Linked DNA regions of Coturnix japonica. The protein of the gene in region 2 purifies or fractionates together with the protein of the main gene of each other region. This does not show direct contact. Links are inferred from orthologs where the notes say so. Each region holds a gene or a part of one and is shown on either strand. Other genes may lie near its edges. The genes, in order: ITSN2, EPS15L1 and ITSN1.

Region 1 (3,650 bases), on a different chromosome or scaffold from region 2:
CTTTTAATAAAAACTAAGATTACTGAGAGAGATTTGGGCTTCCTCATTTAAGAGCAGCACAGCTCTTAAAACTGTGTTAGTTTTCACGTGCTGCTCTACCCAGCCTCTGCTTCTTGGCCATGCAGTCAATGAAATGCAACACAAGTCATTGTAATTTGGGCAAGCCAGAATTGCTTCTGGTGTTATCTGTCCCTCAGTGTCACATGATTTGTGTCCTATTTGAGGAGCACACAACCCAAGGCTGTCTCTGCTGGCCTCCACAAGTCACTGAGTTGGTTTGTTACCTGGGGAGGAGCTGCAGGAGGCACAATACAACTGTGTCACCACCAGTGTGTAATCCGCTCAATTCTGGAAGGAGAGAGAATTGCAAATGCTGACCCTGCGAGTGCTGCCTGTGCTGTTTGCTCTACCAACAGATGCTGACATGTGATAGATATCCTGTTGTTCCACACAGCAAATTGTGTTTTCTTTGTGTTTATCCTCCTGTCTGTAGGTTGATGAAAAAAATGTTGGAGAGCCTGGCTGGCTTTATGGGAGCTTCCATGGGCGTATTGGTTGGTTTCCATGCAATTATGTGGAAAGAATGCCAGAAGGAGAAAAAGCTTTATCTCCTAAGAAGGCCTTACTTCCTCCTACAGTATCTTTGTCTACTACCTCAGCTGCTTCAGAGTGAGTTCTGTTGTATTTGTGTTCAGATTGCTTGTTCAAAGTTAAGGTAACATGCTGTATGGTATGGCCTGGGTTGAAAAGGACCACACTGCTCATCTGGTTTCAACCTCCTGCTGTGTGCAGGTCACCAACCAGCAGACCAGGCTGCCCAGAGCCACATCCAGCCTGGCCTTGAATGCCTGCAGGGATGGGGCATCCACAACTGTAGTATTCCTTGTTTTGTATCTGTGTTCTAAAAAGTAGTGATTCTGTGTGAAGTGCTTTTAGAATAAAAAGTGCTGTGTCTTTATTATGTCTGTCTTCGATTTGCAGACCGCTTTCACAAGCAAATTGTGCAGAAGAGTCACATTATGCCGAGAACGTGCATTTCTCCAGCCTGAACGTTAATGCAGCGTGGCAACAGAAGTCAGCTTTTACCCGCACTGTGTCCCCTGGGTCTGTGTCACCCATTCATGGACAGGTACGTTGTGTGTTCTGATGTGACTCCATCCACCAGTGGACTGTGGACCGAGAGGACACGTGCAGTGCATTTCTGAGTCATGATAGTTTTCATCTGTAATTAAACACTTTATATTTGTAACAGATAGGAAACAGTGGAGATTGTTTCTTAGTCACTTCTGTAAAACATTGTCTAGATGACAAAAAAGCATCCAGCAGTTAGGAATGAACTCGCTTAGACTGCAATAAGTGAAGTGTCAGTGAATGTTTAACACTCACACCAGTGAAGGGGACTGCTAACACACCTCTGCTTCTGTCTTACCAGGGGCAGCCCGTTGAGAACTTGAAAGCACAAGCACTTTGCTCTTGGACTGCAAAAAAAGATAACCACTTGAACTTCTCCAAAAACGATATCATTTCTGTCCTGGAGCAGCAGGAAAACTGGTGGTTTGGGGAGGTGCATGGAGGAAGGGGTTGGTTTCCCAAGTCTTACGTCAAGCTCTTACCTGGAAGTGAGAAGAAAGAGGAGTAAGTGTAACTTTGACTGCTATTGTATTTGGTAGTTATCAAAGAGAGGTGTTCCGGAGTGCCAAAGGATTGCAGTGAAGATCCTGGATGCTCTTTGATTTACACCGTACAGTTTTAGGCTTTTATTACTTCATTCTTGGAAGCCAATTAATGTTGGGCTCACGGCTGTGTAAATGAACAGGCTTCCAAGGTGAGTCCTGTGAGAAGTCAGCGATGGCTGATTATTCCTTAGGGTGGTTACTTAAGTCTTATCAATGCTTGAGTGGCTGCGCTGCTGTGTGTGAATTGTTCTCATCGTGTTGTGATGAAAGTTGTTAGAAATAGTTCAGAACGAGAAGATTGGGCAGAAATCTTTATGGGTGTGAATAATACCTTCCAGTCATATAGTCTGACATTGTTTTTGAAGTGTGGTGTGGTGTGGTGTGCTCTTGGCTGCTGCTCAGCTCTTAAAACCAGTGATATGTCACTTGTTGAAAGGGGAGGGAGCTTTTATAATGAAGAAATAGCAACTTGGAGACACTGGAGCGAGCTTAGGCTCATCCTAATAAAGGGATGCGTTGGTCAGCATTTTGATTATTCAAATGTCCTTTTTCATGTCTCCAGACCAGAAGCTGTTTATGCAGCAGTGAAGAAGTCCGGTGCACAGCCCTACCCAGCAGGAGAGGGTAAGAGAGCATAACAGTGCGTGATGGAGCTGAAATATGTGAGACGTGTCTGAACAATTCCTTTAGTGCTTGACCAGAAAATACTGTGCAAGTGCTGAGCTATAGTTAGGAGAATCTGAGAATGAGAACTTAGGTAATATTTGTAACTAATTCAGGTTGAGCGTAGGCGCGTTGGTGGTGTTTGGTTGGGTTTGATTTTCTTTGCTTGGGTTTTTTTGTTTGTTGGTTTTTTTTTTGCTTTGTACAATTGGGTGTAAGTTCTTCAGGCTTCTGCTTATCTGCAGTGTGTTCCAAGTGTGGTAACTCACTGCCAAATTCGTATCTGTAGAACGTTGTGCATCCTTAACTCAGAGGTGTGAGCATGAGACAAGCTGTGATGGCAGGCTGTAAGGTGGGTTGTTTCACAGGCTTGCTAGGACATTCAGGGCAGGTTTAGGTTGGATCTTAGGAGGAAGTTTTATACCCAGAGGGTGGTGATGCACTGGAACAGGTTGCCCAAGGAGGCTGTGGATGCCCCATCCCTGCAGGCATTCAAGGCCAGGCTGGATGTGGCTCTGGGCAGCCTGGGCTTCTGATTGGCAACCCTGCACACAGCAGGGGGTTGAACCCAGGTGGTCACTGTGGAACTTTTCAGCCCAGGCCATTCCACGATTCTATGACATGATCCACACTACAGACACCATGAGGGGTGCAGACATCCAAGATTCTTGTGTCTGATGGACTTTAATCTTCCCATCTGAAGATGTTCTCTCCACCTTTATATGTACTGTTTGTGCAGAGTACGTTGCGCTGTATTCATATTCAAGCTCTGAGCCTGGAGACTTGACTTTCACTGAAGGCGAGGAAATCCTGGTGACCCAGAAAGAAGGGGAATGGTGGACAGGGAGCATCGATGACAGAACTGGGATCTTCCCCTCCAATTATGTCAGACCAAAGGATCAAGAAGTGAGTTCTTACTTTGAGTCTTGCATAACGATGCTTTTTCTCTGTTTTGGTATATTTCTGTTATTGATACCTGTCTGTTAAACGCTGATTTTAAGCAGAGATAAAATTGCTTGACAGGAAAGAGAATCCTAGGGGACTTGACTTCCAGATCAGTGCTGTAACCACGGTGTCCCACTGTTGGTCTCACAGCTGGATCTTGGTGTTCTGTTAAATTAGGGCTCAGAGTTGCAATGTATGTACATGCCACGTGCTTATAAACAGCCTGAATAAACTCTGCTGGTTTTATTAAACATGCAAAGAATATTGTTGTGTCTTTGTTACAGGGTTCTAGTAATGCTGGCAAAGCTGGAACAATAAATAAGAAACCTGGTGAGTACATTATAACTTCTCAACGTTTTGGACTGT
Region 2 (3,650 bases):
CACTTAATGTTACGACATATGAGTAGAAGATTATATAAGAAGTCATTTTGGAAAACGTCTGCAACTGCAAACTAAACATAAATATTCCAATGCCATGTATCAGAAGCTACTTTATTCCAATCACATATACTGTGTATTATCACTAAATACTACGTGAATTCAAGCTTTAAATTAATTCTTCAAGATGAATTTGTTGAAATGCTTCACTGTTCTCAGTGGGGTTCCTTATACAAGCATCAAAGTGCCTACTATTAGGATTCTGGAAGAAATCCAGGCAGAAGATTAAAATTCACTATGTCTGAAAAACATCACACCCGGGATTGCTACAGGCTTGTTTAATACTTAATTCAACTGTAAGATCAGAGTTCAGTATTCTTTACTCTGCACAAGTCTGCCATCAGCAAGGAAGGACTTTTGAAACGGGAAATATAGTTGATACAGAATTCTCTCACTGGGAATTCTTGAGACAAGGAAAACATTTAAAGAATGAATGGAATGTGTTGTCTTTTACACTTACCCTAACAGCCCAGTGAGGCTCTGTTGAAGGCGGGGTGATCAGCAAGGGACTGCTAGTGTCATGCTAAAATGAAATTTTACTTTTATTTATACAGATGCGTACACACACAAAGGGGCAAAGCTGTAGTCATGCCCATTACTATCCACAGTTGCTGACACAGTTCAAAAATCATCTCCCCCCTCCCCCATAATCGTAGGTTTTAGCCACATCAGCTTAAAAGCACTGACCAAACTGACTGCAGTTAAACCTGCTCTGACTCTGCAGCCCAGGATGAGGCTGGAACACTTTACAAAGGAATACAGGACAGTGGCAGATGTGACTGTGAAAGTTTGACAGCAACCTGAAGTCTCAAAACCACAACGTTTATAAAACAGATTATTTATAAAACTATTTCAGCTGAAGCTTTCCTTCTCATGCAATACATGCAAATGTTCAGGTATGTATTACTTACAAATTTAGGAGGTGGCACAGTCAAATTCAGGCTGCCCATGTTGACCTCATGGCCGTTCTGTGCGCATGCGACGAGGCGCAGTGCAACATAGAAACCCTACAAACAATAGTGCTGTCTATTAAACTAAGCACCCAGTTTAACTCACCCTCTCCAATCATCCATTCAGGGTTTTTACCAACAGTGTACACAGGACCCCAAGTAAAGTACGGAAACAACATATGTACAGCCCCATGCTGTAACTGCACTGCAGCAACGCCTCACTGCTTTCAGATAGGATTCAGAAAAGACTTTGCAGTGATATGGAACAAGGAGTAAAAAACTTCAAAGCTAGTTTTTAAGGGCTGTCTCATACAAACCAACGACGCTCCATATATACATGTAACTAAAGCATGTGTTATTCCAAGTCACTCATAAAACGCCAGTTATCTTTTTCAGTGCAAGAAAGATCTCTAAAATAGACTCTAAAATTACAGTCTGTATTTATTATTCTCAATGGCTGTGTCTATGTATCCCACACACACTGATTATCTAGAAAACAAAAGGAGCAGAAAACAAGAACTAACTTCTCCAGCAGCCCCACTGAGTAATAATCTTGAATATGAGCAGCACCAAAAAAAATCATCTTATAAATGAAAATTTAGAGGTGGAAAAAAAAACAACTATGGGTAACTACTATGGATATCAGGGTTTTCTGGAATCTAGGCTCCACTGTGGAAGGTAATGCAAGAGGTTCACAGGTACATTTTATTTACCTGTTTATCCAAGTACCCTTTACCTTCTGGATCAGCCAAATCCCATATCTGTGGAGATAGAAAATAAAAGCCATTGAAACTTCAAAATAAAATTTAACTCAGCTCAACAATTAATACTATACGTCTTTTCAAATTGTTCATTGCAGATGCCAAGTTATGAAATACAGTTCTATTTAATTCTCAACAACAAAAATGTTACACTAAGGACAAGTTTTCCTTGCAGATCCTTACAAAGCCCAGAACAGGACCCTGAAACTCTCAACAGCCTGTGGTTAACCTGCAAGTCAAAGGATCCAATTCAGCTCCATCTCACCCGCTTTCACTAACCCCTTCTGCTCGCTCTTAGCTGCAGTGAAACAAATACACAGATAATCACTGCAAAAATTGCCTCATTCCTCCAACTTACCTTTCCAAGGATAATATCAGACAGACCAGACTTCTTAAGAAACAGTGCAGCTTCACTTGCCCCAACTCTCCCCGTATACGTTGGATCTACCTAAAAGACAGAAGTTTGCATTCAACTGAAGGATGCCATGAAAGTAGAGACAAGAAAAGAAATGTCTTATTCATGCTTCTGTAACAACTCATATGGTTACCACTCAGTGGGAAAAATTTATAGTAGTTTAGCATGGGAAAGAGGGGAAGGAAATTCTGCTTCAATCTCGTTAAAAACTTACCTGTTTGTAATAAGTTTCATACAATGGAATCCCAGCAGAAAACTGAAAAACAAGAGGGATGATAAGAAAACAATGAACTGCAATCTAAGATAGCCTACATTTAGTGACCACAAGAAAAATAAAAAGCACATACTACCTTGTGCAGTATTTTTAATTTAAAAAATATTTATTTTTTAAAAAAAAAAAAAAAAAAAAGAACACTAGAGTTTATTAAGAAATGCCATAATTCCCTGGCAAAGCTGTTTGAAGATTTCAGCTTGATGTTACCAACTGCATTACACAAAAGCTTCAAACACAAAGGGTCTGTATTCTTGGCATACTAAACAGACAGGCTCCTCTTGCTGAGGTCACAAGGAAACAAGAACTGAAATGCCTAAAGAGGAGAAGCCCCAAACACATATCCTCATTTGCCTCCTCCAACAGACACAAGTCCTAGCTCTGCAACAGCTACACTCCACACTGCTCTCCAGCATTGCTATCAACAGCAAAAATAATACAATCCAACCATTGTGTCAAACAAGTCACCCCTTATGGCAGACAAAGGCCTTAAAAGACAAACAACAAAACAAGCCAATAAAAAAGTTAATGACTGAGATGCAGAGATGTTGAAACACCCCAAAGTGCGCTCAGGACAATCACTCTCCACCTGCAGGACATTACTCAGACACCCAACAAAGGATTCCTTCATTCACTGTCACCTCCCAACCTCCACCTTCCTCCTGGTCACCCAAGCAGACTTATGGATGTTCTGCCCACACCATCAAGAAGGGAGAGAGAAATAGGACCAAAGAAAATGAAGACTGATGAGGAGGAGAAGACTTCATATTACACAGAGAATCTTCCTATACGTTTAAAATAAACAGGGCAAATCTTAATTGAAGGAGCCATCCAACATAATTAACCCTTATTCATTAAAAGTGAGCGCTGAGCTCTTTGAGTGCTGATTATTCTTCCAGGCTAGCAAAATTTTCAAAGCTTTCTTAAACATCTTAAATGTTCTCCTCTTAAACCCATCGGCAAAATAAGCCACTGCACTCTGCACACCATCAGATGTCCCTGCTCTTCCAGAAGCAGGACAAGAGTTTCTGTGGAAAGCTGTGACCGTAACCCATAAGCCTGACTCATCCTTTTGCTAGCTAAATGAACATGGATAAGCATTGTGTCCCTGTCCAGAGCAGGAAACACATCATTCAAAGATGAGGAAATAGGAAACAGTCTGTTCAACTCTGAATAAAACATGGTACGCTTTAGCT
Region 3 (3,650 bases), on a different chromosome or scaffold from region 2:
TAACCTGATTCTGTTTATAATGAGTAAATGAGAAAAGTGACAACTTCAGCTAGTGACTTGTGTCTCTGGAAAGGTTACAAAGACAGGATTGCACTGAGTTATGTTGAAAATATTGGTCTGCAGACTTCTAAGTTGTTGAAAAATAACTTTTGTTAAAAATCAGAAGCTGAAAAAACAGCAAAAAATCCCAAACAAACCAACCCCAAACACATTGTATAGATAGTATTATGCCAGCTTGAGAATGTGTTACCTGGAAAAATCCCAATGCATAAAACATCTTTGCTCCCTGCCTGTTCATAGTTCTTTTGAGCTTCTGTTATGTGATGGGATCTGCTAGGCTGTACTGATTACATTTCTACGGGTGCTATGAATTCCAGCAAGATCTCTTCCAAGCAGACAGCTTCAGCGTAGCAGAGCCTGAGGCAGGGTGGGGGCCTTAGGCTGCAAGGGGTTGGGAAGGAGGGCCAGCTTTACTGTTGCCTGCAGTACAGTAGGGAGTAAGAACAGAAATGGTATTTTGCAACCTTTTTCTCCTTTCCTTCTGAAGGACTGCGTGGGTTCAGAAAATTAAAGCTGCTTCGGAACTTTACATAGAGACTGAAAAGAAGAAGAGGGAAAAGGCCTACTTAGGTATGTCATGGGGTACTGGGGTTCTCATCGTTCATGGGGAAGTCCCTGGGCTGGAAAAGACATTAAGGACTTCTGTCTCTCCTCTTCTGTTTCACCACAGTTCGCTCACAAAGAGCAACAGGCATTGGGAGGTTGATGGTGAATATTGTTGAAGGCATTGAACTAAAACCTTGCAGATCCCATGGTAAGTGCCTTCTGATTTTCATAAGTGTGCTCTATGAAGGAGACATTCCTATGTGACTAACTTAGACATTCTGTCAACATATTTTTGTTTAAAAAAGCTGTTTTAATGAATTTAAAATGCACAAAGGTGATTCTGTGCTGTTCAGTAGCAGTCATGCAGTTGTCTTGCGCTTTATCATTTGGCTCATACAAACAGCTTTACTACATAAACTATTTCAAAAGAGATCATCAGCCACAAAATCCTTAATGAAGAGTGGCAAGTGCTTGGCACCTTGCAGAACTGTGCCCCTGGTTATTAAAATGACAGCAAGGCCACTGTCTTCACCTGGTCTGTTGGCTGCAAGAAGAAGATGGTATTCAGACACGCACTTGAAAACATGATTACATTTTTCTGTTTGTTTCCTACTTCCCAGGAAAGAGTAATCCATACTGTGAGGTGACGATGGGCTCTCAGTGCCACATCACCAAGACAATGCAGGACACCCTCAATCCGAAGTGGAACTCCAACTGCCAGTTCTTTATCAAAGACCTTGAGCAGGACGTGCTCTGCATCACGGTGTTTGAGAGGGACCAGTTCTCCCCAGATGGTAAGCAGGGGGCAGCCACCTTTCCAAGGGTGTTTTCAGGCCTCCCATTTTGAAGAGGTGCACTCCCACTGAGGTAAATACTGAACCCCTGTGCGTGTTTGACACACTCTCACTCCCCAGTGTAGTCATGCTTGTGTTGGAGCTAAAAGAATTGCACTCTCTCTGGGTTTTTGGGCTTCCTTTCTTGTGCAGTTTGACAGTAAGTGAAGTGCAGTTTGTAATTCTGCCAAGTCTTTACATGTAACTCTGGATGCTTTTTGCAAATGGACAAATTAATGGAGGAGGAAAAGAAAAGTTGTCAGGTTCCTGTAACAGGCAGTAGTAGAAATGAACTCAGAATTCCCAACCCACTTTAATTTCATAACTTGCAGTAGACATACGGAGAACTGAGGAATGTCTTTTGGAGTAACTTTCCCTCAGGAAGGATTTGGGCAGGACTGTCATTCATGTGGCCAGCACCATTTGCCCCAATGACCTTGTCGCTGTTGTAATCTATCCCTTGCTCTGTCATCTCCTGAGAGCTACTCGTTCAGTTCAAGCTGGGCAGTGGCCTTTGGCCTTTTTTCTAACATATCATAGAATAAATAAGTTACTTAAGCAAAGCAGCTGTGAAGTACATGGTGCATTTTTTCTGCCTTTGGCATCATTTTTGAATGCTGCCACTGGTCCAGATGAAAATCTCTTCTGTGCAGACAGGCAGCGTTTGTCCTTCAAATGCAAAAATGTGATTGGACTGAGGGCTTGTTTTCTCCTTTTGTCGTGTGTAGATGGAAGCTTAGCTCCTTCTACAATTTAGCGTTTTATTGCAGCAGAAAAGAGTTGTTTCATTTCTAAGCATGCCGTCTTTTTGCATTTCAGACTTTCTGGGCAGAACAGAGATCCGTGTGGCAGACATTAAGAAGGATCAGGGTTCAAAGGGACCAGTTACAAAGTGTCTCCTTCTCCACGAAGTCCCAACAGGAGAGATAGTCGTCCGACTAGACCTGCAATTGTTTGATGAGCCTTAGAAGGAAAGGGACCAATGTTTTTTTTTTTGTTTTGGTCTGAGTTCACTGCAATGTAGGTATCTGCAGAAGCTGTCACAAAACCCTGATCGGTTTGGTATGAAACTACTGCTTGCCCTTCACACACAAGAGGGTTATCAAAGCAAACAGGAGCATCTTTGTGCCTTGATAATTCTCACTGAAAAACGAGTCCCAGTTTAGTGAGGAAGTCTCCCTCAGTTTCTCCATGTGGAACCTGATGATGGTTTCCTGGGTTTATGAAGTAACCTGGTTGTTTGTTGTGCTGCTGGCACACCGCACAGGTCCCCGTGCTTGCTCCAGTTACTCTACTCGTTAATTGACATGAAGAAGGCAGTGTTGGTATGTTTGGTGGCTGTCTGCAGGGTTTTCCCCCATAAGGAATTCTGTGCCTATTGCTCAGCAAAGTGGCGTGTAAATGTTTTGTGAATGGAACAAACAGTTATGCAGTAAGAAGATCTCTGGAGATCTTCATGGCGATACTGAAAATATTTAGAAAAGAAATAGTCTATATCTATAAACAGAGAAGATTCTATTAACATACCACTTCATGACTCACATTGCCCCCAAAATAAATTCCGTGCAGGCCTTGTGCGCAGAGATGAGTTGCACTCCAGAAGAATCCACCCACTCAGTACCTTTGGAAGAAGACTTTGAACAGTGAGTGAAGGACGGAACGATAGAGCCCTGCTGAATGTTGTGCTGTACCACTTCAATACTGTTTTACTACTGCCGCTCAGTTGTGTGAGTGCAGGTGGATGTTCCGTCACCTGCAGTGAGGAAGGAAAAAAAATGATGGCTCTAGCTCAGGAAGCTCATTTCTGCCCCATAGACTAGTTTGCAAAGCAATCGGTGGTGACCAGTTATTAAACTGGACTGTTCCTGACTGCGTTCGACATCATGTTGCTGAATTCAGGGCTGTAGCGCTGTCACTCACAGCAGTGTTTGTTGCAAACTGGGCTGGTCACAAAGTTGGTGGCAAAGATGGTAGACGTGAGCAGAACGGAGTGTTTGTGATCGTGTGATGGAGTGGGTAAACCCAGGGTGATGTCATTTCATCTTGGGGAACGCAAAAGGTTTTATGTGTGTTTAACTCAACACATAGCACACATACAGGCCAATGTCCAGCAAACTTCCCACGTTCGGCAAAGCGTCTGTCTCTAAGTGCACACATAGGTAGTGTTTCCCTTACGTACACAACTAAGTGCTTTGCTAGGACTGGATGTGA

The links.
Region 1: the proteins of EPS15L1 (region 2) and ITSN2 purify together in Homo sapiens (affinity purification with mass spectrometry; 5 studies listed by BioGRID and IntAct, with this or other methods). This does not show direct contact. The link is inferred for Coturnix japonica from reciprocal best matches to the Homo sapiens genes EPS15L1 and ITSN2.
Region 3: the proteins of EPS15L1 (region 2) and ITSN1 purify together in Homo sapiens (affinity purification with mass spectrometry; 4 studies listed by BioGRID and IntAct, with this or other methods). This does not show direct contact. The link is inferred for Coturnix japonica from reciprocal best matches to the Homo sapiens genes EPS15L1 and ITSN1.

Annotation. Positions count from the first base shown.
Region 1 is NC_029518.1:95,164,405-95,168,054, reverse strand, and holds part of ITSN2 (intersectin-2), read left to right. Parts: intron 1-493; coding exon 494-669; intron 670-981; coding exon 982-1,129; intron 1,130-1,432; coding exon 1,433-1,635; intron 1,636-2,238; coding exon 2,239-2,300; intron 2,301-3,078; coding exon 3,079-3,245; intron 3,246-3,568; coding exon 3,569-3,614; intron 3,615-3,650.
Region 2 is NC_029543.1:3,396,905-3,400,554, reverse strand, and holds part of EPS15L1 (epidermal growth factor receptor substrate 15-like 1), read right to left. Parts: intron 2,440-3,650; coding exon 2,398-2,439; intron 2,217-2,397; coding exon 2,127-2,216; intron 1,769-2,126; coding exon 1,721-1,768; intron 1,065-1,720; coding exon 969-1,064; intron 581-968; coding exon 518-580; intron 1-517.
Region 3 is NC_029516.1:94,963,413-94,967,062, forward strand, and holds part of ITSN1 (intersectin-1), read left to right. Parts: intron 1-547; coding exon 548-630; intron 631-730; coding exon 731-814; intron 815-1,226; coding exon 1,227-1,400; intron 1,401-2,258; coding exon 2,259-2,407; 3' UTR 2,408-3,650. UniProt on the Homo sapiens protein: Adapter protein that provides a link between the endocytic membrane traffic and the actin assembly machinery. Acts as a guanine nucleotide exchange factor (GEF) for CDC42, and thereby stimulates actin nucleation mediated by WASL and the ARP2/3 complex.